Linked DNA regions of Lepisosteus oculatus. The protein of the gene in region 4 purifies or fractionates together with the protein of the main gene of each other region. This does not show direct contact. Links are inferred from orthologs where the notes say so. Each region holds a gene or a part of one and is shown on either strand. Other genes may lie near its edges.

Region 1 (7,152 bases), on a different chromosome or scaffold from region 4:
GCAAAAAATAAATGGATCTGAGTAATTCACAAATTACTCGCCTTGTGCTTGAGGTCACAGTGATAAGCTGCACTGACGGAGAATCGACAATTATTAATGCCCTCTACTACTGGAGGTGAACAACCCAACTGGGTATTAATACACAGAGGAAGTCACTGAGTCAAGGATGAATCACTGTGCTTAGCACAGGCCGCCTCATTCTCACTCGTTCACACACAGAGGAGCTGGTAAACAGAAACACGTGGCAGAAGGATATTGCTTAATGCCACAGTTTGACAAAATAAAAAACACAGTTACACTGAAGCAAAAGTAAGATACTCCTCTTCACTAGAAGACCCAAACAGAACTCTGACACACGGAGAGTCAAGTCAGAGTTCCTATGCTCAGCACATGCACATGAGCAGTGCTACAAAAAACCAAAAAGAATGTTTCATAAACCAGGAGCAGTTTTTTTTTCTACATCTTACTGTTCATCTGCTAGAATTGTTACTTTGCCTTGTACTCTATTTCAATAGACTCCAAGTATCACTGTGTTGTCCTATTTAATTGAACTACATAATTACATTTTTGACCATGAAAAACAGAAGGACTGTACATTTTCCATCAGTCACATTGGTTAACACGTCTGCAGCACAATATTCTTTACCACAAAACTCAGAGAAAAAATTCTACTCTAAAAAGTTCTCATTCATTACCAAGGATCAGGAATAGAATTAATGTAACCACAGCGATGACTAAGGAAAATGCTGAAACCATGCCTTGATAGCAAGTACAAAATAAGATCTAAAAACTGTAAAACCATAACAAAAAAAAACATTATACACAACAATTAAATCAATGAAAATAAAAACAGAAATTCCAGGTAGTAACCAGAAGACTGAGTTCACCCGATGTTGACAAATCATGCCACGAAGACCCTGCCCCATTCACATATGCACAAAGATCAAAACTCCAGTTTCCAGCACGCAGATTCTTCCCAAATCTGCCCTTGAAAAAAGATTTACACACCCATCCCACAATTTCTACCCAAGACCTTCCAGTAAGGCTTATAAACAAGCAGTGTGGGCAGATATGCACAGGCAGGGACTGCAGACGTTCAACAAATCCTGCTCTGAGGAGAAATACTGAAGGTTTAACAAAAACAGAAGGATGTACGTCCTACAAAAGCCACCGGACAGCAAGTTACTAAAAAACAAAAACATCATGGGAACACGGGGTGACATTTTAACACTTCCTTTATGATGTAAAGTGTTGGCCAGTAAATTACAGAAAATTGACAAGAATTAACTACTACTACTTAAAAAAAGATGCACTTCACCATTACAGCTGAAGAGTGTTAAATGCAGGCAATGTTAAATGAAGGCAAACGAAGTGGCACGAAATATTCAGCGCCTACTGGCTTATATGCATAAGTCACTGGCTTGTATAACGTGAAAGGGCTCGTAATGCTAGAAAACAGGAGTCATAACGTTGATTCCTAACAGCAGGGCACAGAGAAGCAAGCAGGACTTGCCTGCCCCAAGGAGTCCTCTCCAAAGCTCCCCACTTCGTCCCACTTGAGGCTTGGAAAGTGTGCTGAATTTGTCCTCTTTAAGTAAATGAGCTCAGTGAAGCAACCCTTCAGGTCACTAGACAGGCTTCAAAGCCACTTGGGGGAGAGTGTGGAAACGGGCTGAAATGTCTTGGTGTCTCTTACAAATGATTTGAACCAAGGCTACGACACCTCGTTTGTCACCCAAGGGTTAACACAAAATGAGCTGGGACTCGGAGTCCAAGTGTTGGACGACCCCAGCAGGGCCAGTCATTCGCTCTAGGTTTTTCTGGGACACGCGTAGCGCTATGAAACATCCTGAATTGTACAGCACGTCAAACTTGACCGCCGCCCGGTAGTCCACTACACGATTTGGAAGCACAACAGAGGTACGTCTGGAAAGATGTCACTCTCGGGAAGATCCTGCATTAACTGGGTACCTTTCCCTAAACTGCACCGAACGCGCAATTCAACTGTTAATTAAATAATAAGAGATGATCGATTTTTAACCGACAGCAGTACAGGAACAAGCTTCTGGACCTCGAAGTCTTGGAAACGGTCTGATCCCGCACGTCAAGACAGCACACGAGTGAACGCGGACCACAGCGCTCCGTGCGTGGGAAAAGCTGTACCCAGAGAAACAGCAGCTACGAGAATGCACAATATTACTTCCCCCATTTAAACCGGCTGGCAGGGAAAATACAACCCCTAAACTCGGCAAACGCGAGCGGGGTATCTCCTCGACACCGTGCACACATCCGAAGCCGGGACGCCCGCTTTTCAGGAGCGCAGCTGCAGAGAAAAGCGCAAGTGTGTGGAGCGATCTTACCGACGGAGAGGTGCGTTGAGTCAAACAGATCAAGACGCCACCCTCTTCAATCCCCCCAAAAAAACAACACACTCCCGGAGCTCAACCCCAGCTCTCCAACACCCTGACAGCGAGTCCCGTTTCCCGCAGGGGGCCGTGTGCAGCCGGACGCTATTCGGTGCGACACCCCGCCGCCCCAGCGGGCAGAAGCAGCGCCTCGGCACAGCCCGACCCCGCTACCCCGAAAACACCCCCGAGCCGCCTCGGCTCACAGCAGCGAGGGCCGCGCAACGCAGCCGGCACACGGCGGCCCCTCCACGGACGCTGTTGTGCCTCCAAACCCTTCTCCCTCTCGCCCCGGCCCGCCAGTGCCGAGAACAAAAACACAAACTTTTACTTTCCCCGCCGGCGGAGCGCCCTGCTCTCCTTTCTTCCACCACCCCTCCCCATACTCCTCTTCCCCGCCGGTCTGCGGGCCGCTCCGGCCCAGTCCCTCACCTTTCCAAGGGGAAGCGGGATCCGGTATCACCGGGGGTTTAGGAATCGTCGTGCGCCTTTGAACGGGACGGCGAGCAACAAAATAAAAAAACAAATCCACCCCTCTCACACGGAGCCTCCATCCGACCGCCTCCGCCGCTGGTGCTGCTGTATCAACATGGCGCACGGCGCCTGCGCACTGGGCGGCGGGGAGCGGCCTGGCGTGTGTGCGCAGTTCCAGCGCTGTTTGGCACCATCGGCGCCCACTCAGGACCCAGCAGAAAGGAGATGTGACTTCACGCCGATACCCGGGCCATGGCGCGTAACAGTCGCTCCCTTTCTTGGAGCGAGCTATGGGCAATGTGCAAAAACACACTTAGACACAACATGAGTGGGCACTGCGTGTTATGCGTGCTTCTTACTTCGCGATGTTTCACATACCTTCGTGATGTAAAATATCTAAAAATAAAAACAGCAGGTAAGGATAATTGTCAGAAGTAGATCCTGCATGATAAGCAGCATTCTTGCATAGAGTGCTGACATTCCGCTTTTATTAAATAAATGTGAATCTTTTAGATTTAATCAGATGAGAGAATGTAATTTTATAACTACACAAATTTTAACACTAGGCCTTAGGTTGCGTGATAAATTCTTCTAGTTACAGTGCAGGACTGTCAATTGTTTCTGTTATTTATATTGTAGCACTACATGCAGTCTTGAGCACCTGTATTTAGCCATGCCATCATTTTGTTTTCATCAAAACATTTCTTAAATTGGTTCCTCAAATCTGTCGTCTGCGTGCACCTTTCTCACCCAACACTACCATGACCTCTGATGTTGACTAACCTGACAGTAAGTCATATATAGTGGGCAATGAAATATCAAGGGATTCAGTGCCTCGGATTTGGGGTCTCATTGCTCTCAAGGACTTGCTGAATTCCAGGTTCTTCCCAGGGCCTGGAGATTTTTGTTCGAATCTGAGTAGTCAAAGAAACCACCAACCAAATTATCTTCTAAATTAGACCATTTTAAGAATGTTTCTTGAAGTCTTTAACAGACAAATGCACTGGCATTCACTTCATTAAAGCTCGCCCTCTAGTTTTTTAATGCAAGTCATTACCCCTTCATGTTTTCTGTATTTTTTTGTTTCAATGTTTTTTTCTGTTTAATGAAACTGAAAGCAGCCTTTTCTTGGAAGATCCTAGGGACTAGGATCTAGTTGGCAGTTTGGCCCCTTCAGCAGCAGTGAGATATACTGTAAATGTCATTAAAAGTCCAGCGGTGTTTATTCTTAAGCTTGACTTACAGTTAATGCCTATTCATGCTCCATGTGCCACTGCTGAGCTTGAAGTAAACCACAGGAAGTGACTTTATCAGTACACTTCAAGACCTCAAATACTTGGGTCAATCCCGCCTCTTCTTATCAAGACTGAAGAGACTCTGCTACTTTGATCTGTCAGAGAGAGACATGCTTTCAGTCAGGAACGATCCTAGTCATCACTCTATGAAGTCTTTCCAAGAAGCAGTTACCTTTTTCTGACACGATTACTGCAAAATCGAACACAGTATTCTAAATGTGCTAACATATCATTCACTTTTAACATTCTTTGATTTAAATGTGGATCTTTTCACTGTAAGATTCTGTTGACTACTTAACCCATATTATCAAAAGCAAGTCAGTAATGTGTCAATTTAATAATGTAATCACCCACCCTATATTGAATCCTAAAACTTCATGCTCAGTACCAGCCATGAGTTTTTTTTTCACTGCTGCAAAAAGACACCATGAAAAGTTTAGCTTGCAGTTTAGGCTGTCCAGAGTAGGATCTCCGTCTTTTTGCATATCCTCCTGGTACAATGTTTGCAAACCAGTTGTGAACCTCTGTTTGGCAATTGTATCAGAGATGAGATGATATAAAATGAAATATATAGGTATATATTTGATATATGATAAAAGAATGTTGATGTGTCAAGGTCCAAAATTGCTTTGTGTACTTATGTTGAGTAAGTGAAACAGTACCTTGTTTGGACCATCTAAAAATGGAGCTGAACTACAAAGAAAGGGTGCACATTTTCCAGTTTTTTTTTGCCTAAAAGTCTAACCTTTAGTGACTGGCAATCTAGAGATTTTGCAAGTTACTGCACAGTGCAGAAAATAAGGATTTCTTCCACAATTAGATTTTCTTCTCTCACACCCAAGGCGTTTTCTTTCTTCTCTTTTCAGCATGGAATAAGCCTATTACTTGTTCCTTTCTTCCACAATGCTGCTTTTCACTAAAGCCACATAATGTTTGATATTCTGCCTTCTGTTGCCATATAGTCAGAAGACAAGGGTTTCCTGACTATCAGAGTGTAATAGCATAAAAATGATTCTACTCACTTTACTGAGGTGGCATCTCGAACCCAAGCCAGTCCATTGCCTCGCCCACTAGCCTCCTCCATCGTATCCTGTCTCTCCAGGCATCTACATCAATATCCGCCTTACCGTTATCTTCTTTCACTGAGTCAAGCCAGCTTATTCTTGGTCTTCCTCGTGGCCTCTTTCCCTCAATACCCTCTTCTACTTCGTCTTTTATTAGGTCTTGATCTCATCTCATTACATGGCCATACCACTGTAGTATTGCAAATATTTTGATTCTAAAGGATCTCATAAAATAATAAGACAAAAATGCTGACTTGGCAGTAGTATTTTTTTACAGTAATAACTGAACAAAGAGGAAAACAGTGATTAAAGCATTTAAAGAAAACTGATGCATTTACTAAAGATAGAGAAAAATAAATTAACTTGGTTTTACAGTTCATGTCTTAGGACAAAATGAAAAACTAACATAATTTCATACAGACGGTAACTCCTCATATCTTTACACCAGGTGAGAAAAACAGATATCAAATGTATCTCTTATCATGTACATGCATGTTATGGAAAGAATTCATGTGCAATGTTTTTTTACACATTCTGAAGGAGTATTTCCATAATTCTCATATTTATAGGCCAAATCATGAGGCTTTGAGAAAACTCATGTCAAGGAAATACTGCATGAATGCCTCCCACAAGAGGAATGGAGTGCTTCTTTGTTTTTGAGCTAAGTTCAGTTCCCACTGAAATTCTCACTAAAGCTACCAATAGCGCTGTTACAAAAAGTCTTAAGAGTATTTGGGTCATGCATTTCAAGTTCTTTTCCTTTACAGATTTGTGAGCCATTGATTTTCGAACACAAAAATTTAGATTGTGTCGTTACTTGGTTGCTTGTTGAGAGAAGTGCCTGAGATATTTTAGAAGTTTAAAATATAAAATATAAAATAAAGTTTATTATTATTATTATTATTATAAGACATTTGTACTCATTCTTTTAACTGAATCAGAGCTTGGCTCACAGTTTGAACAGTGTATCTAGGCTAAGAGGCCACTAGGGCAGCAGAGGGGGATTAGGATGCTTTATATACTCAGTTTATGGCTGACTGTTTCAAAGCATATAATTATACTAATCCACCACATCTTCTTGCTGTGTCTCTGGAAGAAGCTCTCATTTTGCCTCAGGCTCTCCCATCTCAGACGCTCATATTGTCTTGGTTGTTTCTGCTGCCGGTGAACAACACCGTGAGTCACTAATGTGGGTGAAGGCTACATGGCATTCCACACTAAAAGGAGCCTTGTTCTCACAAGGGCACCCACTGGCAAAATCCATTTCAAACAGTTTAAGCTAGACCGTTTTTATTTTTAAAGTAAAAAAGGTTTCAAAGCAGGCCCACACACACCACATTGGTTCACCCACATTCATTTCAGCTTTTCACCGCGAAACACCATCGCTTTGCAGTTACACTTCCATTTAACATTAATGGGGGAAGACCTTAACTGTCAGCTTCAAGCTAGATATCGTCTTGAAGACCCTTTGCATTACCAAGGTGAGCTTGGTATTTCATCATAAAGAGAGAAAAGGAGCAGCAGCATTGGACCTGATAAACACGAGCACTGAAGGAACAAGAAAAGTAGCACTTATTAGAACAGATAAGACCCAGTTTAACCTCCACTGATATCAGATTCAGGTTTAGAGTACGATCAATTAAACTTTTATTGCATGAAATAGATCCACTTTTAAATACAAAATAAGTGCCCCATCCCACCATACTAAAATAACCACCCTCAAAATAATTCAGCGGAATCGCATGGTGCTCCCACTCTAGCATCTGTAGGACAGGGTCTGATGAGCCATGCCGACATACCGAGCACTGAGCAAGCCTGCTTTCCAGTGGACAGTGGTGATTGTACTGTCATGTTGTCTCCAAAGAAGGAGCAGGACACCAGGACCTCAGTCACTTTATGGCATCAAACCATTTT
Region 2 (7,140 bases), on a different chromosome or scaffold from region 4:
TGCTTCCATTTGTGTAGACCAAAATACAAGCCAAAACATGGGAATGCTGTGAAGCAAAATCTAATCCCTCAAGGAAACTAAACTGTGTATTAACTTTAACAAGCCAGATTCACAGCCCAGTTCTCAATCTGACTGAAGCAGGGCTGTTTGAATGCATCAATGCCTTTGAATCCAATTACAACTGGCATATATACAACTTTTCAAATTAGTTTTGGTTCCTTAAGCTTGGACAACAGGCAGTTCAGGGTCATACAAATCTTTGAATGCTCTGGATTCTACTAGCCAAAAGGCTGAGCTACTGTATTTACCACGTACAAAACAAGCTTGCAAAACCAGTAACGGTTTTAACCTTCCTTCCCCCCCACTCCCCACTCAACTCCATGAGAACATGAATAATTACTCTTTTAACTATATTTAGATTTTATTTTTTTATTTTCATTTTCATGCAAACAGAACAGTCTACAGATGCTTATGACTCACGTATTACTTTATTTGCTAAAGCAGCATCATATGTCAACTTGACTGAAACCCGAGTTTTACTCTCACTACTGAACACCAGCAAGCTGGAAATGGAAGACAAATAAACACACTGCCAAAGTGTGTATGTAACCGTCTAGCCACTCTTTAAGAAAAACGAAAAGGTACTCGGTCAATGACATCAAACAGAACGAGAACTGGGAAACAGTCCTACGTAAATCCTTGCAAAGCTCCAGCAGAACAGTAGCTAGTCCTAGTCTTGAAGATCCACTGGGTTAACGTCTGTGTTTATCCATGTCTTTAATAATTCAACTGGCTCAATTAAAGAGCTTAAATGGTAATAACCACTGTTGCACTGTAACTAGTGATTTAGAACCTGAACTTCCCACCCTGGTCCAGGAGAGCTATAAGGTAAAAACAAAAAATATATATTGTCTAATCTGGTCAAATTTCACCAAACTGGGATTGTTCTTCAATAGTCAAACACAGCTATAGAACCTGAAGGCCTGGTGCCATACAAGACTTAAATTGTAGAACTCCAGTGGCTTGAAATCTTGTATGTGCACAACATATCAAATATAGGCGATATGGACAGAGGCAGGTTAAGTTATGTATACCGATAAATTAATGACTTCTTCAGTAATAGCTAAGGGTATTTTCAAAAAACGTTTTCAAAAAGCAAAATGGCCTAAAGTCTGTCTAAACCACATAAATAATAGGGCTTAACACTGCACCAACCTGTTATAACAAATAATTCTTCACTACTCTTGAACACTTCAAAAACTGGAGATAAATTTATAGGGATCGGACTACAAGGTTTGATAACTCAACTCCACACGAAAAAATCTGGAGAAATTAATTCTAAGAAAACACTGTACAACACAACTGGTTTCTGCAAAACAGTTTTAAAACGCTCAGATTTCATTTCAGTACACTATTCCTTCAGCTGCTGTGCTATGAGCTTCGGGGCGTCGATTTCGGCACATTGTCATGCAAATCTGATAGCTTAATTTCATCCGCGCATCGACTGTGCAAGGAAATCCTGTTTCACCGGTCACAAGCCCCAATTCCATTAGAAAGAATCCCGCAACGCATCTCAATGTTTTAATTCTCTTCCATTACCACAGGTGACAGCAAGCAGCCCCCAATTAAAACCAAAGCTGTTATCAAAAGGGAGCAGGAACTTTTTACCACCACTGGAGTCATATCTGAAGCACATCAAAGACCAGTGGCACGACGCGTCTAAACACACGTTTGCGGTAAAACAAAAACTGCTTTCTGTTCACTTGAAAATCTGGGACATAGCACATGTGGTTTGTTTCTCCAGACAATTATTCCATGAGCGACACCTTAAAAGGCGTGCAGGCCTACAGGTTATATTTTCCCGTTTCTTTCGTTCACAGAGATTATTACAATTAATAACAATAGCACTACAGTGGTTTACAGGGCAAGCCTGTCGTGACAACATCAAAGTCTTTGTGTCTGTTCCCATCACACGCTGGTGACACCGAAATATCACAACAGCAACACCCGTCCTTTTTTAGGTCTTTCAAACCACAGTTCGATTCGTGCTAACAATATACCTTTTACGTCAAGGTGTTTAAGGTGAAACGTAAACAAAGAAGGTTTATTTTACATTTCGTTAATGACAAGGCACCCCGAAACCCGATACTTCAAAAGGCACGGATTAGGCGTTTCTTTTATCTCCTAACTCCTGTCACAAAACATTCAACTACACAGTTAGCTACAAGACAACAGAAAACAGCTAACCAGTAGCATGTCAATTGTAAATAAGCCTGGGTTCAGGCAACGTGTTTATGAGTTCAGCTGCATTTCAAAGAGTCAAAATATGCATTTCTCAAAAAGAACCCTGCTTCTAAACAATCATTTACCATATGCTAATATGTACACACGTAAATAGTGCGTTTTTCCTTGCAATCAAAGTAGAAAAAAATGCCGGACTGTGGAAGCGAGAAGGCCTTGGCTGTGCCCCATCGGTGGACAGGGTCAGTGTCCGACGTGTCGAGAGACCTATTATCATTAAGGCCGAGAAGTACAAACACAGCGACTCGACTCCAGCTCAGGACATTTGCCGACCAGGGAATATCAATTCACCGCTACTCCACATCGGACTGCACATGAATTTGCCACTGTGAATCTCGCTTTGCCGTGTAGCTTTCTACTCAGGCCCGTCAGGCGTGCTACTGACTTTTCGATCTCTTTCCCTCCTGATTTTTTTTTCTACCTTGTCAGGAAATCACTCTTAACAATACACATTCCTGACAGCGCGGCTCTCTCTGACCTGCGCCATCTTTGACAAGAGTCTTTCGGGGCAGACGAGTCTTGAAACAAAAGAGCAACAGCGGGCATGAGAACCCCGCGCCAGACTCAATCCGAAGAAAAGAAATATCCAAATTGAGGATTTTTAAAAAGGAGCACCACACCCCCTCTCTCGCTTACCTTCGGTCTCCTGTACTCCAGTCCCTAAGAGCAGGACTACGAATGTTAAACAACAACGAACTGCATCCATTGTGTTTCAGATTTACTCCAGACTGGCCGTCTCTCGCACACAACTTCGGCTGTCTTGGCTGGGGGAAATCGCGTCCCTGATTGGCTGGCAAGGACGCCGCACCCCGCCCAGCTCTTACCAGCCAACACACATAGCGGAGCCGCAAGTCAACACTCGGCTGCGAGCGCCTAGCGCAGTGTGCTAGGGCGCGGACAAGTGATATAGGCATTATATTAATTCGGGCTACAGCTAAGCAACATGAACGTTAAACCTGTCTGGGAAACGTAGGCTGTACATTGTTCAGAATTACTGTTTTATTTTTGATTAAGCAGGCTACGCACTTAGGTCTAATATCTTATGAGAATTTACTTCCTTAGATAAGCATAGCATTTTGCACGTATTCTCTCTATATCATGCATGTCACTGTGCTTGGTCATGGTTCCCCCAGCTGGCCTCATGATTCACCGTACAGCTCTCTGAGCCCCGTTCCACTGTTTACTCCTTCACTGCTTCTACCGTGAAAGTGCACAGCAAAATCGTAAAAGAAAAACATTCCCTCTCAAGTAATGACGTTTTCTTAACAGTCAGTAAAGGAATTAATAACGTATATCATTAAAACGGATAGGGGTCAGATAGGTCTTCCAGTTAAAATGTACACTTTCAAAAATGTAATTTGCTCTCCGGTTTTATTCACTTAGAAACGCAGGTTGGCAAAATATTTGAGTCCCGTAAGAGTAATCACTTAATCTTTACCAGTAAACTAGACCTGACTTATTTATTAAATATACTGCTGCAAAAAAACGATGTCTGTATCTGGTAAACAGAAGTGCTGAAATTACTTCTTCATCCATATCTGCTTAATTGTAAAGAGGATGCGATTATCCATTTAGTGAAAGGAATAAATTCCCATTAGAGACGTCCTCTACCAGACCATTATTCCTCGTTTATAAAAGTTCTGTATGATCGCGTGTATCCTTTAAATTCACGTTGTTTGATTTAGCAGTAGTAGTTACACCGTTGACACTGTGCTGTAGCCGTTTTGTTATTTGGCCAAAAAGAAGATGAGCGATTCTGACTCACCAGGGAAGGCCTACAGTCCAAGATATTGAGACCAAGTAATCAGAATACTCTGCTTTGTCAAACATACTGTAGGTGCCTAACTTGTAGACTTGTAAACCAGATTGCAAACATTTCTTACGTAGGCATTGTGGTAGAAGTAGTGACCCAAAAACTAATTAAAAACACACGGTTTCGTCTTACAGGGACTTGAGTCTGCAATTTCATGCAGATTCTTTATAAAAGATACACATTTAACGCCTGCTGTTGTCTTTATGACTACATGTACAAACTTTTTAAAAGTCTTTTATTTAAACCATGTTGCCAGTGCCAATTGAAGTGACCTCTTTTATGATCTGCCAAAGATATGTTCTATCTTTAATGTGCATTAACAGGTGTATTGTCAGCATTACTATGTATGCCTCTGAAATTTAAATCCAAGTTCAAAGATAAGGTCAGAACTGAGATTAAAATATTTTCTGTTTGATTAATTAAATTGATTGATTAAAATTGGCGACAAGCTGTTGGGTGTCATAACAGAATCTTAACAAGCAGGTGGGTCAAGGCAAACAGACACAGCTGTAAGGTACAAGACACCAGTGAGCTTTATTTCATGATGTAGGGAAAATCAAAAACAACAAAACAAAAGCCTAAGCACTTTTTTGAGCTTCTTTCTAAACTTCTTCTCAGTGTCCCTAATTACCCAAGCCAAGGAGTTAAACTGCTTAAGAGCCTCAAACAAAAAAATGTTAAAACAGTCTCACTGAGACTCTTCATAAAATTGCCAAATTAGAAAAGTCTCTCTGAGACTCTTTACCATTTAAGGATTTCATTTCATAAAGAATGTTGACAATACTCTTAGAACTCACTAGTTCCTTGAGTCCATGGCCTGTCTTTCTCCCTCCTGTCAATAGCTCACAGAGGATCTGCCTTCTGGCCTTCAGACGGCAGACATCCCTGTCTAACTGACCCAGGAAGCTTCTTCTTCGTGCTTTTTAAACAGTCACCTGACCAATTGTTTTTCAGCAACTGGCTAGGTGATGGAGAGCAGCAGCTCATGTGGTCCCAACAGGAGGACCCCATATGCTCCCTCCTCATAAGGAAGGCCATTGGACGACAGATTACCAGCCAATTCCAAGGCTACATCCCCCTGGATTTTGAAGTGAATGGGGAGGGTGGGAGGGACATACTTTCTTTCCCCTGGATCATGTACCCTATGGTTTTCCAGCTCTTGTTCTTCAAGAGGCAGCCATCTCTCTTGGTAGCTCCACATGTACTCTCCCATCCGGGTACTCAAAAGTCTTCAATACCCCTTTCATTGGGGGTTGCAACCGTTGTTCTTCCATTTCAATTAGTTGTCGGTCAGGCGACCTCTCCCTCTCTTCTAGCGCAGGTCTATGGTTCTCTAGCAACTCTGTTTCTTTCTCTGTTGGACGATCTGGAAGTTCCACGTCTTCTGCTTTATTTGGCTGCCTGTCCTCAGGTTCAAGCCACTTTCACTTGTTCTCTCACAGTCATCATCAGGACACAGGACATCTACATGTACTTCTGAACGTTCCACCCAAAGAGACCTCCGTATCAATCTCTAGCACTGGTGATGAGAGCTCCTTCTCCCTCACCTCTGAAACTTAGTAGCTTCTTTGTCCAATGGGTGACACCCTCTGTCTTGGACTGGCAATTCTCTGAAAAAGGCTTGTCTTTTTCCTCATACTTGCCCATTCATTCATGTGGCTTGTAAATGTCCCTGCGGTATCTTGACTCTCTCCCTCTCCTGGATCAGTTACTCCTGAGTGGTCTTCGGCTCTACTCTGGCTTGATTCGGGTAAGACTGTAACCTCCCTTCAAATCTCCACTGCTTCTCTGTCCTTCATCTATTGCTATGATTTACTTAGTTGCTGCTGCATTAATGCTAACTGCACCCTTGGCTTCTCATTTTCTAATTTGGCCGTTTCAATCTGGCTCTGAAAGTCATCCATCTTTGCCCACCACACCTGCTTCTGTTGTTAGTTTTGTGAAAAAGGTTTAGGGCCTCCTCTTTTCCAGCTCATTGTTTAGCTGTTATGCATGCTGCTCAGCCTTTCTCCTTGCCATGCTGCTCTGCTTCTCTTACAGTTCCTCCATTGGAGGCTTTGGCTTCCAAATGCCACTTCACATCTGCCAGTGCTGAGTTTCCCAAAATGTTGCTGGCCAGCTCTCCAGCCTGTTTTTACTTGTCAGCCTCAATCTGCTTGCATGCTTGCTCTGCTGCTGTCAGGTCCTCCTGTAACTGCATTAGCTCAGCCTCTAGGCTCTTGGCCTTCTCCTCGCTCTCCTTGACTGCGGTCAGCACTTTCTCCCCGACAATGCGGGCATCTCCCATCTCCCTTTGGAAGTCCTTCATCTGGGCCTGGAGCTTGTGCACCTGTTTTGATAGCCTTGTCCTGATCATGATTTGCAGTCTTTATGTGACACTTGACTTCTTTGAAGTCTCCCTCCAGCTTTTTCCCTGCGACAGCTGCCATGTCTCTCTGCTTCCACTCATCCTCCAGCTTGGTCTCAAGATCATGCACCTGTTTGACAAAGACCAGCAGTTGCCTGTCTGATTTGGGCTTGAAGGCTTTCTATCCCAGGCTCCCTGTCCTTCAGTCTAGTCTGGAGTTTGGTGAGGGAAGTCATCTCTTGCCTGGCTTTTTCTGGTCTCTCCTGGAGGTTGTCGTTACCGCTCAGAGTTGCCCTTATCCCTTCAGTTACTTCATCTCACACTCAATGTAAGGTACAGAACAGACAGCAAACAGCCATCTATGTTTTCAGTATTCTTGCTGCTGTTTAGGCCGCAGGGCCTCACGTTTCTCTTTTAGCACATTAGTCCGCTTACTGCACTCTTGAAGCAGCATTCAAATCCACCATTTTCTTCTTACTCTTATTCTGGGTTATATCCCAATCCACAGCCAGGGAGTTCTTCCCCTCAGGTCCTATCTGGATCACTCTTCTCTTAGCCTTTTTCTTCTCTTCAGTGCTCAGTAGGACCTCGGGCTTTGCCATCATCTGGTCAATACGCTTGTTTTGCAGCTCTCCTCTCAAAGACTGCATCAATTGTTTTCTCTTCCCCTCATGAGAGC
Region 3 (8,033 bases), on a different chromosome or scaffold from region 4:
GCTTGGACTACTTGGTGAGATACAGTAAGTTTGGCTTAACGTGCTAGGTTAATGGCCTAATTGGCCGCCTGCTGGCCACAGGACGAGGAGGCTCAGAGCCCTTTCAGAAGGAGTGACCCAGGAGCTGCTGTGAGGTGGAAATGGTCTGGAACAGGCAGGCTTGAGATGAATACGAAGGGAGGCATTCAAGATTAGTATACATGGCTAATTTCATAATGATTGCGATTAGGTACAGCTGCATGAGACTGACTTGTCCGTGTTATCCCTCCCGAACTTCGCTTAATAACTTCCATATCATATGCTTTTGTGCAAGCAGAACATTATTTGCAGGAAGCTGTGTACCATTTGTGTTGAAGCTCCACTTTGAACTACCCTACTGATGCCTGAGCTAAACCTCAGAACAACTGAAAGGCTCCCTGGTTCTATGACTTAAGCCTGCTGGTATGTCACTCCTTTTGCTCATTCCACAGTCTATACATCTCCACAAGCTTCATAAACTAATGAGTCACAGGGAGCTCGGATCAGATGAACTCAGTGCAGGTGTGTGGGAGTAAGTTGCTATTGCTAGATACAACAAAAAGAGGATGTCTATAAACAGCCTCTTGTTCTTTGAAATGTTTCATAATTACTTGTTTATTTGAAGTGAAATATGCAAGTGTTATTGCATACATTATACTGTATATATTTCCAAGGCTGTAGGTTTTTCTTTCTTGTTTCCTATTACATGTTCTTATAGTCTTAGTAGCGGTCTGCTTGGCTGCCAAGGGACTTTCCAATATGTTTGGAAAATTCCTCCACATAATCTGTAACATGAGCATGTAAAAAGCACCTGGGCTTCAGTATTTTTGAGCTGTGTTCTGCTTACGTATCATTTGTGGTATTGATGATGCAGTGGCATAGAAAGCTATGATCATGTAGCCTAGCACTGGTGCCACAGATAAAAAAAGGCGTTAGTAGCATCATCCGGGTCTAAAAAACATGGGGAATCCATTGAAAAGGCAAACTGGTGTGCCAGCTGACAGTGTAGTACTGTAACACAGAATTGCACTGGAGAAGCGATTAAGATTCTGGACTCCTTACTGGATGGATTTGGGTTCCAAGCCTTGTTAGGCAGTGCACGACAGGTACTTCTCCAAATTGCTCCAATTGAAATACCAGTTCTACATAAAGGGGCACAATATGTTAGCAACTTTACCCTATTTACTTTAAAGCACATAATTTAAAATCAAGGAATCTTCACATAGTATAATACATGTATAACAACAGGGGCATAAAAATCACAATGGAGAGCTGGCCTTCAAATACACTTTAATCCCATCCTTCTTGAACACTTACTGTAGATAAGATAAGATTACTATAAGCCATATACAATTTCTTGCATAAGGAATTTGTCTTTTCACATACCCCACCTTGCTCTCTGTGAGACACACAGACAGGGAGAGAGAAGCTTGGGGTCAGAGCACAGGGACAGCCATTTATACAGCACCCCTGGAGCAGTTGGGGGTAAGAGCCTTGCTCAGGGGCCCAACAGAGAAGGATTCCTCTGCCGGCCACAGGATTTGAACCAGCAACCTTCCAGCAGCAGGCACAGATCCTTAGCCACAGGCCCACCACTTCTGGGATGTCTCAAAACACATTCTGCACCTGTAGCCCACTGTCCTGAAAGTACTTCCCAGTTGGTCCCTGCTGGGTGGAGGACAAGGACGGGACAATCCAACAAGGGTCCTTTAACTCACTCATGCCTGTCAGAGGGAAACTTGTGTAGGCTCTCAGTGCGACGTCTGACAACCTTCTATACTTGAGAATAATTCCTACTTTGTAAGTGGTGACTACTGCTCATTTTCTGTTAATATATTTCTAAGCACCTGATGTGGTTTCGTATAAACATCCACCCTTTTCTCTTTCAGACTGAAGGCACGAAGATGATCCAGAGTCTCCTTACGGGAAGGACAGGTAATAACTCTAGTCCAATGTGTGGGGTGTTTACGTATATGGATACACAGAATTCCAGAGTGCATTGATTCAGAATCCATTCTTTTATCAATTATTCTATACTATGTCAGTAAACCATATAATGGACGACTGAAACACTACAATCATAACCACTTCACACACAGTGAACGTGCAAAAACAAGAATCTGCAAAACAAGAATTAACCTATTATTAAGATTATATTAAATTTTTTTGCCCACAAAATAATTTTGGTTGAGTCAAACAGTAACCAACTAACTTTTACAGTAGACGTACTGTATTTTACTACTAGACTTTTCTGGCAGGGGGACTTCACAAAGGTCACATTTTGAATGAGCTGTAAATGACTTAAATGAGCTTTGCTGTGAGAGTAGCTTCCTTTTTTCATGAAAGTGGGAAATTTGGCAGTATCGGAAAGGCCACCCCGCCCACCAGCAGTGTTTACTCTTCAGGCTATTAAAATATTACTGTGAATTCCTCATTCAATGGGTTTACTTTATATGGATTAATTTAATGGACAGATATTAGCCTTCTAGTCTGATCTGGCTTATTATCCTGCTGAATAACAAGCACCCACAATCGTGTGCAAAACTGTTTCAGGATTCCACACATTGTTTAAATGCTTTTCTTTGAAAAGGTTTTGGAACATATACAAGGGGGTTAAAAATATGAAGTTTAAAAATCATCAAATTGTAGCCTTACAAAACGTGAATCTTTTCATAATGCATCATACTGTTATCTGTATATTTTTTAGATATGTATAGGCTGCATAGGAGTGGATATGTACAGTATGTGTGTACTGATAATGCCTACCTTACTTTCATACAGTAATGATATTAAACTCTTTAAAACACTATAGGAGACTAATAGGCCTTCGTCACATGGCAAGCAAAAGAATGTTATTAAACACGTGCAACTACCAGCACAGTAAAAAAAAATCTCCAGCATGGCTTTAACTGAGATGAGAAGAACAAGAAGTAGCTCTGTCTGAACTTGCTTCTCAGACACACTGGACCTTTGTGTTACCTAGAGTTGTCAAAACTTGTTACGTCGGTATCCCGGAAACGGCGAACGTACAGTAAACATTTGAGGATAAAATAATATACATCGTCTTGGCAGCTAGTTTAATTGCAGCGTTGCAGAGGGAGAACCACACTTAGCCGTAAAAGCAGCATAATATATTTTTGTCCGCCGTTCCCGGTTTTAAAAATAAACATCACGTGCTAACACAAGGAAAATGCACAGTGTAATAGGGATGTACTGTACATCAAAACACAAAGATGAATAAATCTCATTGCTTTCACAGGACCCCTGCTATTTGCTTTAGCTGAAGACACCCTTTGCAGCACCCTGTTCTCATTCTGACACAGTTCTGCTAGAGCCTGCTTTGCAGAATGGATGAAAGAATTCAGGTCTTAAAACTGACAGTATAAAAACCAGCACATGAAATATGTTCATTTGTCTTGGCCGTGCAGCAAGGACGGGCTACTGTTAATGTTTGGGTGTGCTGTTGGAGCTATCCTGCAGACGAAAAGAAAGGATTGCTTCATCTTTCTAAGCAATCAGTAGTGTTTCTGTTCCAAATGCACGCTGTGAAGGCCCTCTTCACTTTCATTAGGTACCATGTGTTGTGACTGTCCTTTAACAATAAATTCTAATATCCTGGAATTAACTGAAAACCAAAATATGGGTGTATTCAGCAAGGGCTGTAAAAAAGGGAACATGGGGCCAGGCAGAATTGAATGAGCTGTTCCAAAGAGGTTGACAAATACCAAAACAGATGATTACTTTGAAGCACAGAGTGAAGTAGACACAGATTGAAATTAAGGAGGTAGGTATCTCTTAGTACAAAGGACCGTACTTAAACATAGAACCTCTTCATACTGTAGCAATTAATAAGCATTTAAAAATGTTGAGCTACACACAGGAATTCAATCTTTTCCCATAAAATCAGATTATGTGATACAGTATGTGTGAAAGAATCCACCGACTCTTCTGCTATCATGTACTGTAGTATTACAGTAAATGTCTTGCATACATTTCTTATTATTTTACAGTGGTTTTGACTTCCTTTTCTATAGAGTTACTAAAAATGATCCCTCCATTCAGCGATAAAGTATTAAGACACCCTCATACGTACTAAAAGTGGTTATGTTCAACAGGAGGAAAGCATCACAAAAGCATGCTAACCATTTATATACAAGTGTATAAACCCCCAAAATAATTTTTCAATCCTGTGTGTCTGTAAAAATGATCCCATCCTTCATTGCTATGCATTTAATGAGCAGAGGGAAATCAGTTTCCATTTTTTTCGCCAATATGTGAATATTCTAGATGCCACTTTGTTCCCCATTGTTGTTTATAAACAATCTCCTTTTGTTTTTCCGTTTAGATTTTAAAATGTATCAGAGAGCATTCCTGTAGGATGAGTGTGAGTCAAAAAAGACTCGCATTTCAAGGGACTTGAGTGAACAATACTTTTCCCATAGGCTTCAAACGGTTGTCAGTAGTGCTCTTAACACGCCACATGTCTTTTTAATCATTTTGTTTAGGTTTTCAGGAACTTTGCCTCCACTCAGAAACTTTTGTCCAGACAAAAAACATTGTGTGTATATCCCTAATTCCAAGGTGAAACGCAGTGTCGCTCTTTTTACCGACAACACGTGAGATAATAACAAGTAAAATAAAAAATACCTTAATTACATGTCTCCACCTCCCCCAGGAAGTGCATTTTCACCACTATCTTGCAGATAAACTGCTACTTAACAGAAAAATATTCGAAGAATATATGAAAACCCCAACCTGCCCTGGGATTTTAACCTTGTTTTTAAGTCCTGTGAGGAAGATCTCTGGTAACTAACCACAGGACTCATCGGGAGACACCTATTACTTGTACGGAGGACGTTAAACAAGTTAAAACTGCAATAGCTGAAAAGTTGTTTCCCTGTAGGGCACTGCCTTAAGCGCACCGTTTTAAAAAAAAAATCAATGTGATTTTTATGTGCTTAATTTTCTTTTAAATTGGAGCATACCGTCCGTCTAGAAATGCGTCCTTTGGAAACCGATGTTTTGTGTGTATCTGTCTTAAGCGTGTCATTAGGCGCTTGCCTCGACTTGAAGGAGAGTAAACTACAACTTCTAAGGGACTGACAGCTTCGGGAGAAAAAAAAAATTAGTCCTGCCCTTCTCTCAAAGATTTCCTGTTTCGCGAAAGAAGTGAATACAGTCACTCTCTGACTCATAACCCGGGGTTTAGAGTATTTTCATAGCTGAAGGCAGGCGCACAGAGTTTGAGACCAACATTTTTTTTCTCCAAAAAAAAAAAGAAGAGTTGTTTTCTTCGACTTTTCTTTCCCCACTTTGCAACAGAAGCGCACAACGTTGAAACCTTCAATTGGGAGGACGGGGGGAACATTTCCTCTCCGCTTTTGAAGGGCAAGGGAAGAGAGAGCAAAAAAGAAACATTTTAATGAAAAGTCAAGGAAAGGTATCGGTGTTTGTCTAAATGAACCGACTTCGTTTATCAGTCGTGCTGTGGAGCACTACCCTGTTCGCCAGCTCTGTGCTCTTCGGCCGGACGGGTGAGTCTTGTTGAAGGTTTTATTCACCCTTGAACTTCACCAATTTCTTTACCCCTTTTTATAAAAAAATATATTTTAGCCAGTCCAGTCGAGTTCGTTTTTTTTTTAATTGTTGTCCACAAGCTGCCGGGTCTGTTTGAGAAAGCAGCAAATAAATAAATAAAACGTTTCTTCTATCGCAGGGGGCTCGTTGTTGCAGAAGTACAGTATACGCGTTATTTCCTTATGTCTTTTGCTTTTGAAGGCTGAAAAGTTTTTTGAGGTTAAAAACTAACAGCAATGCGTACGGATATGCGCCACAGGTGGTTGAACTGTGAAAGGGCAGACGACCCCCCCAAAAATGAGAAATCATATTTTGGGGGTGTCTTCTGTTGTTATACCTGTAAACGTGTGTTGGAGTACTACGTACTGTATCTTTCTTTTTCTTTTCAAAATGATCTTGCAGCCACCAGACTATCAATCTTCAAGGTTAATACTACCATGTTTTTTTTTTGCCCATACGGAAACTGTATTGCACATTGTAGATTTCTTTATCTGCTGTAGCAGTTAATGATTTGTGCTTATATACAGAAATATAGTAACGTACATTTGGGAAATGGTGGTGTTTCTGAAATGTATCTGAGCACCTTGCCAGTTATCCGCTGGTAATGAAAGTGCTGTAACTGTTTGGGGGAAGTTCAGTTTTTCTTTTTCACTTGTCGGAATTTCTCTCCCATGTAAACGCTAATTGCATTTGTTCAGTTTAGATATGATATCGAATAGCGTGCTCCTTTTTTGCCATACAGTGAGTTATATCCGGATGAAAGTGGTGTTGCTGGGTTTTAAAGTTGAAGGCCCTTACTCCGGAGTGTGTGTAGATGAATGTACTGTATACGGTTGTCAGTGTAGTCTCAGAGGAAGAGCTATCTCCTTTACATTCTTCTTTTACAGCAAACCCGTTGTTTTGTACTGTGAGTGATCAGTTATTCGATTGTTTATATAAATATGATGAGCACTTAAAGCGCCTTAAAACAGGCAGCGTGAAAACACCAGTCGTGGATTAACAAACTGTACTGTAAAACTTAGTGGCGTCAGGATAGGTGCAGTATGCAGCAACTTTTTGCACAAGTGCCTGAAGCGATTTTGTGTGGGGGTAGCCAAGTATGTTTTGCACCTCGGCCTAACACTGCAACGCAGTTCGGTCTTGGAACAAGTTTTTTTTTTCCTCTCTCAGTATTGAAAACACCACTTGAAGTTGCAGAGTTTTCCAAATAAATTCTTGCTGTGCAGACAGAGTCCCACTTACCTGTTTGGTTTTGTAATGAATTTTACATTTATACATTAGTGGTCCATACATCCATTTTCTAACCTCTTTATCCAATACGGGGTCACTTGGGATCCTGAGTCTATCCCAGCAAGTTAGGGAGTAAGGCAGGATACACCCTGGATGGGATGCCAGTCCATCACAGGGCACATACAGACAAAAACACACGCACACTTAAACCAGGGTCAGTTTTTTACAGAAGCCAGTTAACCTCCTGGTATGTCTTTGGATAAGAGCACCCCGAGGAAACTCACTTAAACACAGGGAGAACATCCAGAAACTACTCTCAGGCAGCAGCCCAGGTCCAGAATTGATCCCAGGGCTACAGTGCTGAACTAGTGTACCCCTGTGCCAAAGCAATAGACCACATGAAGTCAGCAAATACAGTGCATTTTTCTGATATACCTTGTGCATTTTGAGGGAGAAAATTGTGTTGGTATGGAGTAAGTTTGCAAGTAGAGAAAGTGTGGGGGAAAAACAAGCTTTATCAGAAAGAGTTGTGTGAGACGAAATGTCAGTTTCTTTTGAAAGATGACAGATCCCAGATAGATAAACTGCTATTATATCCATGTCTGTAAACCTATCCTTTTAAAGCTGGAATGTGCTTGCAATTAACATGAGCATCAAATTGGATTAGTAATATTTCTTGCTGCATATAATTTTCTATTTATTGTTCTTTCACTAAATCTGTCATTATTACTTCTCATGTGGTTTTAATAGTGCTGAGTACTGTGTATGTTACAGAGGACTAATAATCTAATGACCTAATGTTGAAAATATGAGAGGTGTAGGAATTTCCTGTCAAAAGCTGTATAGATTGCAAAACAGTCATGTACGGAGAAAATATTTTGCCTCTCAGGCCTCGGAGGATCCAAGCAATAACACATAATTTCAAGAGCAGTGGTATGTTTATTTCACAAAAGGTGATAAGAAGGTTAAGTAATGAAAGAGTAAATCTCTGTAAATAAAGTGCTTTAGACAGCAGAGGGGAAAAAATGTTCTATTGGAAGCTACAGTGTGCGAACCGGTGAAACGTCGTGATCTGCAATGTACTGCATGTGAAGGCCTGTGGCAAAGGAACACCTATCTTAGCTTTGTGTGTTTTCACAGAGCCATACAATGTGTACAATACATCTGCCCTCCTGCTGAGATATTCAGAATGGCACCATTGAATGCAC
Region 4 (8,047 bases):
CCAACACCCTTCAGTCCACGGCGCACCCACCCAAAAATAAGGCAACAGGTTTAAATTACCCGGCTGGCTAACCAGGGCTGAAATGGAATCATGCTGGTTTCCAAAGGGAAGACTCCTCCCCTTCCCAGCACCCAGAGCTCCTTCGCTGCGGGCCATGAGATCCCCTTGGGATCGCTTCCTCCAGAAGCGAGGGGGTCCGCAGGAAACAACCACGCTGCAGGACCCCCAGACAAGCAGGTGACCTCTGGGCTTGTCCTCCCTGCCCTAGAGGCCATGTCAGAGTCTTACCAGTCCATCAGCAGAACCACCCCGGAACACGTCCCGGCCAAGAAAGCCAAGAGGACCTAAACCCACCCCCAAATAAATCAACCGTTCACTCCCGATATCATTCAGCAATAAAACAATCACGCTCTATCGCCTACCCGTTTACACGAAAATGTAAAATGAAATAGTCCTTCTGAAGCAGAGGATCTCTGGAGCGCATGGAACTCATTTTAAAACTCGGCCTCCCTTACGTCAGGGATCAAGAATGTTTTTTTTTTCACGTTCGTAACCTTGTGCAATACCTTCTTTGGCATCGAAAAATCGAAAACTATATTCTATTAATAAACCGTCGAACTAAAGCGGTAGCTAAGGAAACACTGGTCCCCTTTGGAAAAACAAAAATAACTGAATCAAGTAGACAATTCACAGCGACCAGCCTCATGCCTGGGAGAGACCTCCACAGACGAGTCTGCTGAAGTTCGTCTTGCAACAGATCTACCAGAATAAACTTTTTCTGTCTTTATCCCGACTCGACTAAGCCAAGCGCGTATATACACTTCTTTTAAAAAAATCGTTACAACGTACAGACGTTTCAGTTTATTTAAAAAGAGAAAAAAGTACTTCCAAAGTACGACAAAATCTAACACTTTCGTTTTGTCGATACTGTTTTTTGTACTTATTTGGCAAAACATGGTACTGTCGGTAAACTGTTTTTTTTTTTTAGAGTTTAGAGAATTTAGAGAAACTATTAGGAATTTGCAGGCAACGTTTCTTATTGACTTCGGAGTCGCCGAGACCGCCTCACTTTGCGTCTTCACAAGAAGACGTCCTTGTTCAAAAGCAAACAGATGTTTTCGAAATGAGCACGACGTGAATACTTTTCAAACTCAGCTGTGTTTGAAGCCCGGATTGCTTCGCTTGAAGACATTAAATCAGCGGTAATGGCATATTAAACTGGGACATCAGTAACACATTTCGTCTGTAATAACCACACCCCCCTAACAACCACTGAAACACGTAGATATTATGGAACCATTGCGAAACGGGACCAGAAACATCAGTCTCCATCTCCAGCACCTACAAACTTCTCAAAGATACATAGAAGCCACCCATCCATAAAGTTATTTGTTTTAAAAGCTGATCTCCGAGGGTGAACAGGGATAGTTCTACTCTGCATACTAGCAGTAGGAACGAACTACTACAAATAAGCGTTTCAGAAAACTGCATTAAAACCTTTGAACTTAACTGAACTTTCTTAATTTAAAAAAAAATAACATTGGAAAAACGATGAGGGCAAACACCTCCACATCTTAAACGATGTTATTTAGGAAGCGTTTAATCGTCGTTAATTTTCTTTAAACAAAGCACGACGTGCGGACGGAAACAAACAGTATTTTTTAAAAAGTCGTTATCAAGTTTAAGCTTATATTTTTTCAGTTTCTATTTGACTTCTAAGGCCACGCAAGAGCGAAACCTTAAAACTTAACAACTTTAAGTTTTTTTTAATCCAGAGAAGATTCCCCCCCCCCCTCCCAAAAAAAATAGGAACAGACCACACTTCCAGAAATGTAATTAAAAAAGCTGTTCTCCAGGAATTACTTTCAAGCAAAACAATTCTTACACCTAGGGCTCTCTTCAGTTTTAGAACCGATCGGTTTCAACACAAATTAGCCGGACAACAAATGCACTTCCCTCCTTCCTCGGCTATTTACAAAACTGCATATAAAACATTTTTTAAAAAACAGGGCTCCATTCTGGACGTTTTTAATGCAAAAAAAAACCCCGAAGCGCGTCACACGATTCGATGATTAAAAAGGCAGAGTACCCGGGCGAACAAACTTGCTGGCGCACGGCGCACACCGCTCGGGTCCGGACGGGTTCCCCGGGTTTATTTCAAAGCAGGAGCAGCAACAGTCACGACCAGGCACACGACAACGGCTAGCACTCTCCAGGGCAGCTCACCGCCGCCCTCCTCCCCTGCAAGAGCCGCCGTGTCTCAGCGCTCAGTGGGCAACTTGAGCCCCTGGGCCACGGCGGACAGCACACGGTCGGCTCCGTTTCGCCCACAACACAGGAACGCAAAACTCCCCCTTTCACACGGACACGTCCAGGCTGGGGACAGGGGCGCAGAGCCCAGGCGCTCCCGACCTTCTTGTTTTCTTGCCATTTATTTTTCCTCTAAAAAAAAAAAACGGGGGGGGCCACCTACCTGTCAAACGCAGTTTCACGGGGCCGTTCCTCCTCACCCCCTGGTTAGACATGTCCTTCGCCGCTTTCCAGCTTGAGTTGCGACGCTAGAAAATATTTACAAAGTATCTCTCTTTTTTTTTTCCTCCCCTCCGCCACCCCCCTCCAACCTCCCTCCTCCTCTCCTCTCCTCTCTTGCTCGCCAGCTTCACAGTGGCTGAATAATGGAGTCACGGCCCGGTGGCCCGGATGTGCGTCGCGCTACCATTATTTCACCAGCGCCGACACGCGCGCCCCCCACTCTCACGCGGACAGGAATGCACCCCCTCTCGCGCGCGGCGTCCTCGCGAAATGTTCCCTGCCTCCCCCGAAAGACACAGGTTCACCCCCCCCAATGCCGCCGCGTCCTGTTTGCAGAATAAAAGCAGCAGCAATAATAATAATAATAATAATAAAAAAGGCGAGCCACGTTCGAGCGCACTTTTCTCTTCCTACATCTCCGGGAAAGACGGACGCACTAGGACGTCGGCGGCACTCTGCACTCTTTCCCACCGGGATCGGTTTTGGAGTGAGAGTGGAAATGGAGTGTGTGCGCGTCCGCGCAAGACGCTGGGAAGAAAAAAAAATAAAAAAAAAGCTCTTCCCAGTCAGCTCCCCCAGACGGCTCTCCTCCTCCGCAAGACGGCTCTCTGCTGACCTCTCCAGACAGACGCCGGCAGCTCTTGCGAAATTACAGAGACGTGCATCGGGTCCCGCGACTGTGCAAACGCGATTTTTCTTTTTAAAATAAGCCGAAAACGAACGTCCCGCAGCCCCCTGCATCGGGCTCCCCGTCATCCTACACGATGCACACGTATCGGTGATGGCGCACGCTGGTGTAGCTGCATTCGCGGTTAACTTCAATTGTGTAGCTGCACAATCATCTTCCATCCAATCCAGAAGTTCCGTGATGTTCAATAGCATCAAGTTCAAGTTTATTGTCATTATACTCGTACACTGGTATATGAACAAGTAATAGGTTTATTCCATGCTGAAAAAAAGAAGAAAGAGAACACAACGTTTCGGCCGTGGAGCCTTCTTCAGGTGAACTGTACCCACCTGAACTACCCACCTGAACTACTACCACTGGTATATGATATAACGAGATGCTATTTAGCTAGCTCTCAGTCGGTAAGTAGTACAAAAAACAACAACAATACAATTGTATGAGAAAAGAAAGACAGAGACAACAGGCAGTGTGCAAAACACCAACAGGTGTGCAAAATCATACATCAACAGAATGAAATAAAGGATAGGAAATTATGGGGAGTGAACTTCTTGACGTGAGGTAGAGGTAGATTTCAATGTGTGTTTGGGATTTGATGAAGAGGGAAGGCACTGTGAGGGTTCAGATTGTAGGTGAGAGTGGCTGGGAGTTTAATAGTTTGATAGTGCGGGGGTAAAAACTGTCTCTGAGGTTGGTAGTCCGGTCCGAATGCTCCGGTACTGTTTTCCAGATGGTAGAGGGTCAAACAGTCTGTAGCTGGAGTGTGTGGGGTCTTTGATAATGTTAGAGCTTTCCTCAAGCACCGTCTGTCATAAATGTCCTGTATGGATGGGAGAGCAACCCCAGTGATGGACTGGGCAGTTTTCACCACCCACTGTAGGGCTTTGTGGTCAGCAATACTGCAGTTGCCATACCACACTGTGAAGCAACCTGTCAGTGGGGCTTTCTGTAGTGCATCTGTAAAAGTCAGGGAGGATCTGGGGAGATGTCTTAGCCTTCTTCAACCGCTCACCACTAGAAATCAGTTGCTCATACGGCTGACCATAACAAGAGGGGGAAAAAAAGAACTTGGTTTGCAACACCAACAGGATATGTCTCTTAAAATGTAGTGTACAGGAGCAAACATCAATAACACGCTGAAACACTGAAGGAAAAAAAAACGTTTCCGTGGACACCCTAAGGCTGAAGAAATGCCACACGTCGTAGAGTTAACTGCTACCTGCTCACTCCAACCTCTCTACCGCATGTGGGACGTCCTGTTCCCTTAAACTGATTTCAGGAATCCTGCCTCCAGCTCCCCCTGCAAGCACACCTCAGTCCGGTCGGGTCCAGTTCCTTGTATTCAACACCTTGGAGACCCATTTTCTCCATCAGTGAAGTGCAGCAACACCTCCAGGTGTGTCATCCTTGCTCCAGTGGCAGCCCAGCTACACAACAGGGCAGGCAGGCACTTCACCAGTTAAATTAAGGGGAGACGAAGGCTAGCAGGCACCATACAATCAAAACACCAGTTCACACCCTGTAGCTCTTAACAGCACCCTGGGCCTTTCGGTGACCAGGTTAAAACTCACTGAAGGGACTAACACAGCAGTCCCTGCTCAAACTGGGGTACTACTTCAGAAATTCCAGGGCAGACAGGAGAGCACGTATTGATCTCCAAAAAACATTTAGAGTAAGAGAGGCCAGGCCAGGCCCAGCCTTGCTTTTCATACAAAACCAGAGTTCTGAGCAGACAATTTACAGTAGTCTGGTGCAAGAATTCCCCTGGATCTTTCAGATATCCTACAGAAACCGCTTCCCTGTGCATAGACTAACCATTGGAAAAACCCCTCAACTGTGGTTCGAGTAGGCAGATGTGTAGACCGCAAGAGAACCAGAAGGCTCCACAGCCAAGACGTTTTCATTATGGAATAAACGTTTACCTGTTCCTTAATCCAGGTTGTCAAAATAGCTCACAAACATGAAACTGGATGCATTTAGTCTCATTCAATTTACCCGTCCAGAAATCACCATCAACCGTGAAGTGTTATCCTTCAGGGATAATGAAGGACTTCAGCAGAAACCAGAACTTGTCCCTTGTGGACTTCAGAGCCAAGAGCTCAGGGTGCAGCTTCATTGTGAAGATCAAAGGCACAGATTGCAGACGAGTGGAAACATCAGTCCTTCTAAGCTGCATTGATAGACACTTTTGAAAGACGTATCTAATAAACTTTATTTACATTTCATACAATAAAGGTTTGACAGTCACATCAGTAACCTGTTATATACATCATGGAAAACACTGCTACACATATAAAAAAGACAGACAGCATAAAAAAAACTCTAGAAGTTGAAAGTGCTTTCAGCATCTTGGACCTGGAAGGCATAACCATCAGTCGTAGCTTCAGGAACAACACACTGGTCTTCCTCTTCCTGTGGCAGAGGAGAGAGAGAGATGAGTACAAGCTGGTCTGACCCATGCATGTTCTGAAGTAGTGAACAAGGCACCTCTCATTCTCCCAGTGAACCTCGAGCTCGTCGTCACAAGTCGAGCCACACCAGCCCACAAGGCTTGTGCAACTGGCACCTCTTCAGACAAGCATCGCATTTCAAACACCAGTAGTATAAATTCCACCAGACCCCCCCCAAAAAAACCCAAAACTTGTATATTATGCTCACCTCTCCAGAGAAGTATTTATCGATCAGGTGTAGGGCAGCCTTGTAGACCATCTCGTTCTCATGGGACTGCAGGGCTTCAATCTTATCCAGGCCTCCATACTCCTCGATCATCACGGCCAGCTTCTCCACCTCCCCCAGCTTCTCGCCAGCCTTCAGGACAAGCCCACACACCGCTGGTTAAGAGTGGCAGTAACAGGGGGCACCAAAGAGCAATGGGAGCAGCACTCAACACCATCGCCAAGCATGAGCAAAGATCGCAATCTGCCCCTTGGTGACCACCTGGCTTGCACTACTCCCCACATGCACATCACTAAACAAATCAAGATCAGGGGACATCAGTCGTACCACTTCAGAGGCAGGTCCAAAGCTCAGCACGTACCAGGAAGATGTTCGAGATGGCATCCAGGATCACAAGGAGAGTTTTGCTGTCCTTGGTGGACAGAAGGTTCAGCAGGGGCTCCAGCACGTTGGACTGAACCAGGTACACCACCTGTTCCACTGTCCCCCCGCTGGTGTAGTTGGTTATAGCCCAGACAGCCTCCTTCTGCGCCTTGTAGTCACCCTGGGTGGGGTAAACAGGATAAGAAAAACGCAGATTTACATTTTAAAATGATACCTAAAAAGTAAAAAAAAAAGACTGCCCTATAGTTGTGGACAAAGGTTTTGCATTTCAAGATTTAGCAGAGCTTTTGGCCAAAGCTGTTAACCCCCCCAAAATATAATCTCCTTCAGAGCCAACAAAGAACCCCAGAACACCAGCTTACTCTTGAATGACTTGGGGCAAGGGCACTCTTGGATGACTTGGGGCAAAACTTTGGCTAGTTTTGTTCAAGAAAGCAATCTAGTCATTCTAATCTGGTGCTGGGTCCATGGTTCTTGGTACAAACAGCTGAGCAGGTGAACAGGTCAGAGTAGCTACAACAGAACCCAGACAACTGGACCTCAAGAGGGAAGCCCCAACACAGGGAGGGGCAGCACCGACCCACCTTCTGGAGCACCTCCACCAGGTACGGGATCAGCCCGGCGTTCACAACCTCCTGGATCTGGGTGTCGCGCCCGGCGGTGATGTTAGACAGGGTCCAGGCGGCCTCTTTCTGGATGTTGCTCTTGTGGTGCCTCAGCAGGGCTGGGAACATGGCCAGAGCTCCGGAGTCCAGCACTATCTGGGTCTGCTCATCCGTGCCGGTCACTATATTGCCGATTGACCTCAGTGAGGGAGTCTGGAGGGAAGGGGGTAGATAAGCTTTACAATTCAAGCAGACCTTCAGTTACCAAGTAAGCAAGGGACAGATCCCCATCGGTACATTTACCAACCACTGTGCAAGATGCATGCACCAGTTAACCCCTGTAATACCACCACAAGAGATCAAGAACACAAGCTACCAGAACAGTTCAGTTGTCTTTACAGCAGTCGCAAGGACATTCACATAAATCTGCAAGAACCTTAAATGCAAAAAAAAAACCCCAAAACTTAAAAACAGGAGGAGCCATCTTTAAACCCACTGTGTTGCCCTGTGCCCTTGAGATGACAGTTGTTTTTAACAAGGCCCACAGTCTAAAGCAATGGCTTTCAAAGTGTGGTCCGCAGACCACCAGTGGTTCGGGAGCTGACCTAATCTCTTAAAGCAAGCCTAAGCTCTTAAAGTCGGAGGAAAGAATGGTGTAGTGTCCACTACAAAGGGGCTCCCCCTAGGAGCACTGTTAAGAACTGCAAGCTATAGTAGGAGGTTCAAGGGGTTTCACCAGCCATTCCGATTGCTCAAGAAAAGCAGCTCAGTTTTTCCCCACATTAACTGTAATAACCACTTGCAAAATATACAGCTTTGTTTGTAAAAATTTGTACTTTTCATAAAAAGTAATTGGTTATTTTTTGTACATTCCTAGGTGATTTTTACAGGGTAAGAAGGGGACATAGGCATACATGGTCCACTGCATCTGTGACTTAGTGTAAGTGGTCCGCGGACCACAGGCCTTTGAGAACCACTGGTCTAAAGGAATACAAGCCGTCCCGAGTCCGTGGGGGACGAACGAAGACGAGACGTACCACAATCGGAAGCTCTCCGGAGCCGAGCAGCTGGACCAGGCGGGACACCAGCCCGGTCCGCACCACCACCTCGATCCGGTCGTTGGGCCCATCGGTCAGGTAGGACACGGCCCAGCAGGTGTCGGCCA

What was found.
Region 1: the proteins of smurf2 (region 4) and smad4b purify together in Homo sapiens (affinity purification with western blotting; 3 studies listed by BioGRID). This does not show direct contact. The link is inferred for Lepisosteus oculatus from reciprocal best matches to the Homo sapiens genes SMURF2 and SMAD4.
Region 2: the proteins of smurf2 (region 4) and tgfbr1b purify together in Homo sapiens (affinity purification with western blotting; 8 studies listed by BioGRID). This does not show direct contact. The link is inferred for Lepisosteus oculatus from reciprocal best matches to the Homo sapiens genes SMURF2 and TGFBR1.
Region 3: the proteins of smurf2 (region 4) and tgfbr2b purify together in Homo sapiens (affinity purification with western blotting; 3 studies listed by BioGRID). This does not show direct contact. The link is inferred for Lepisosteus oculatus from reciprocal best matches to the Homo sapiens genes SMURF2 and TGFBR2.

Annotation. Positions count from the first base shown.
Region 1 is NC_090698.1:14,987,527-14,994,678, forward strand, and holds the start of smad4b (mothers against decapentaplegic homolog 4), read right to left. Parts: upstream 3,024-7,152; 5' UTR 2,838-3,023; intron 1-2,837. UniProt on the Homo sapiens protein: In muscle physiology, plays a central role in the balance between atrophy and hypertrophy. When recruited by MSTN, promotes atrophy response via phosphorylated SMAD2/4.
Region 2 is NC_090701.1:24,416,493-24,423,632, forward strand, and holds the start of tgfbr1b (TGF-beta receptor type-1b), read right to left. Parts: upstream 3,063-7,140; 5' UTR 3,008-3,062; coding exon 2,938-3,007; intron 1-2,937. UniProt on the Homo sapiens protein: Transmembrane serine/threonine kinase forming with the TGF-beta type II serine/threonine kinase receptor, TGFBR2, the non-promiscuous receptor for the TGF-beta cytokines TGFB1, TGFB2 and TGFB3.
Region 3 is NC_090705.1:41,081,782-41,089,814, forward strand, and holds the start of tgfbr2b (TGF-beta receptor type-2), read left to right. Parts: upstream 1-5,005; 5' UTR 5,006-5,476; coding exon 5,477-5,552; intron 5,553-8,033. UniProt on the Homo sapiens protein: Transmembrane serine/threonine kinase forming with the TGF-beta type I serine/threonine kinase receptor, TGFBR1, the non-promiscuous receptor for the TGF-beta cytokines TGFB1, TGFB2 and TGFB3.
Region 4 is NC_090704.1:45,615,568-45,623,614, forward strand, and holds the start of smurf2 (E3 ubiquitin-protein ligase SMURF2), read right to left. Parts: upstream 3,070-8,047; 5' UTR 2,526-3,069; coding exon 2,474-2,525; intron 1-2,473. Other genes in the region: kpna2 (importin subunit alpha-1), read right to left, coding at 5,540-5,629, 5,876-6,025, 6,255-6,437, 6,862-7,095, 7,920-8,047. UniProt on the Homo sapiens protein: E3 ubiquitin-protein ligase which accepts ubiquitin from an E2 ubiquitin-conjugating enzyme in the form of a thioester and then directly transfers the ubiquitin to targeted substrates.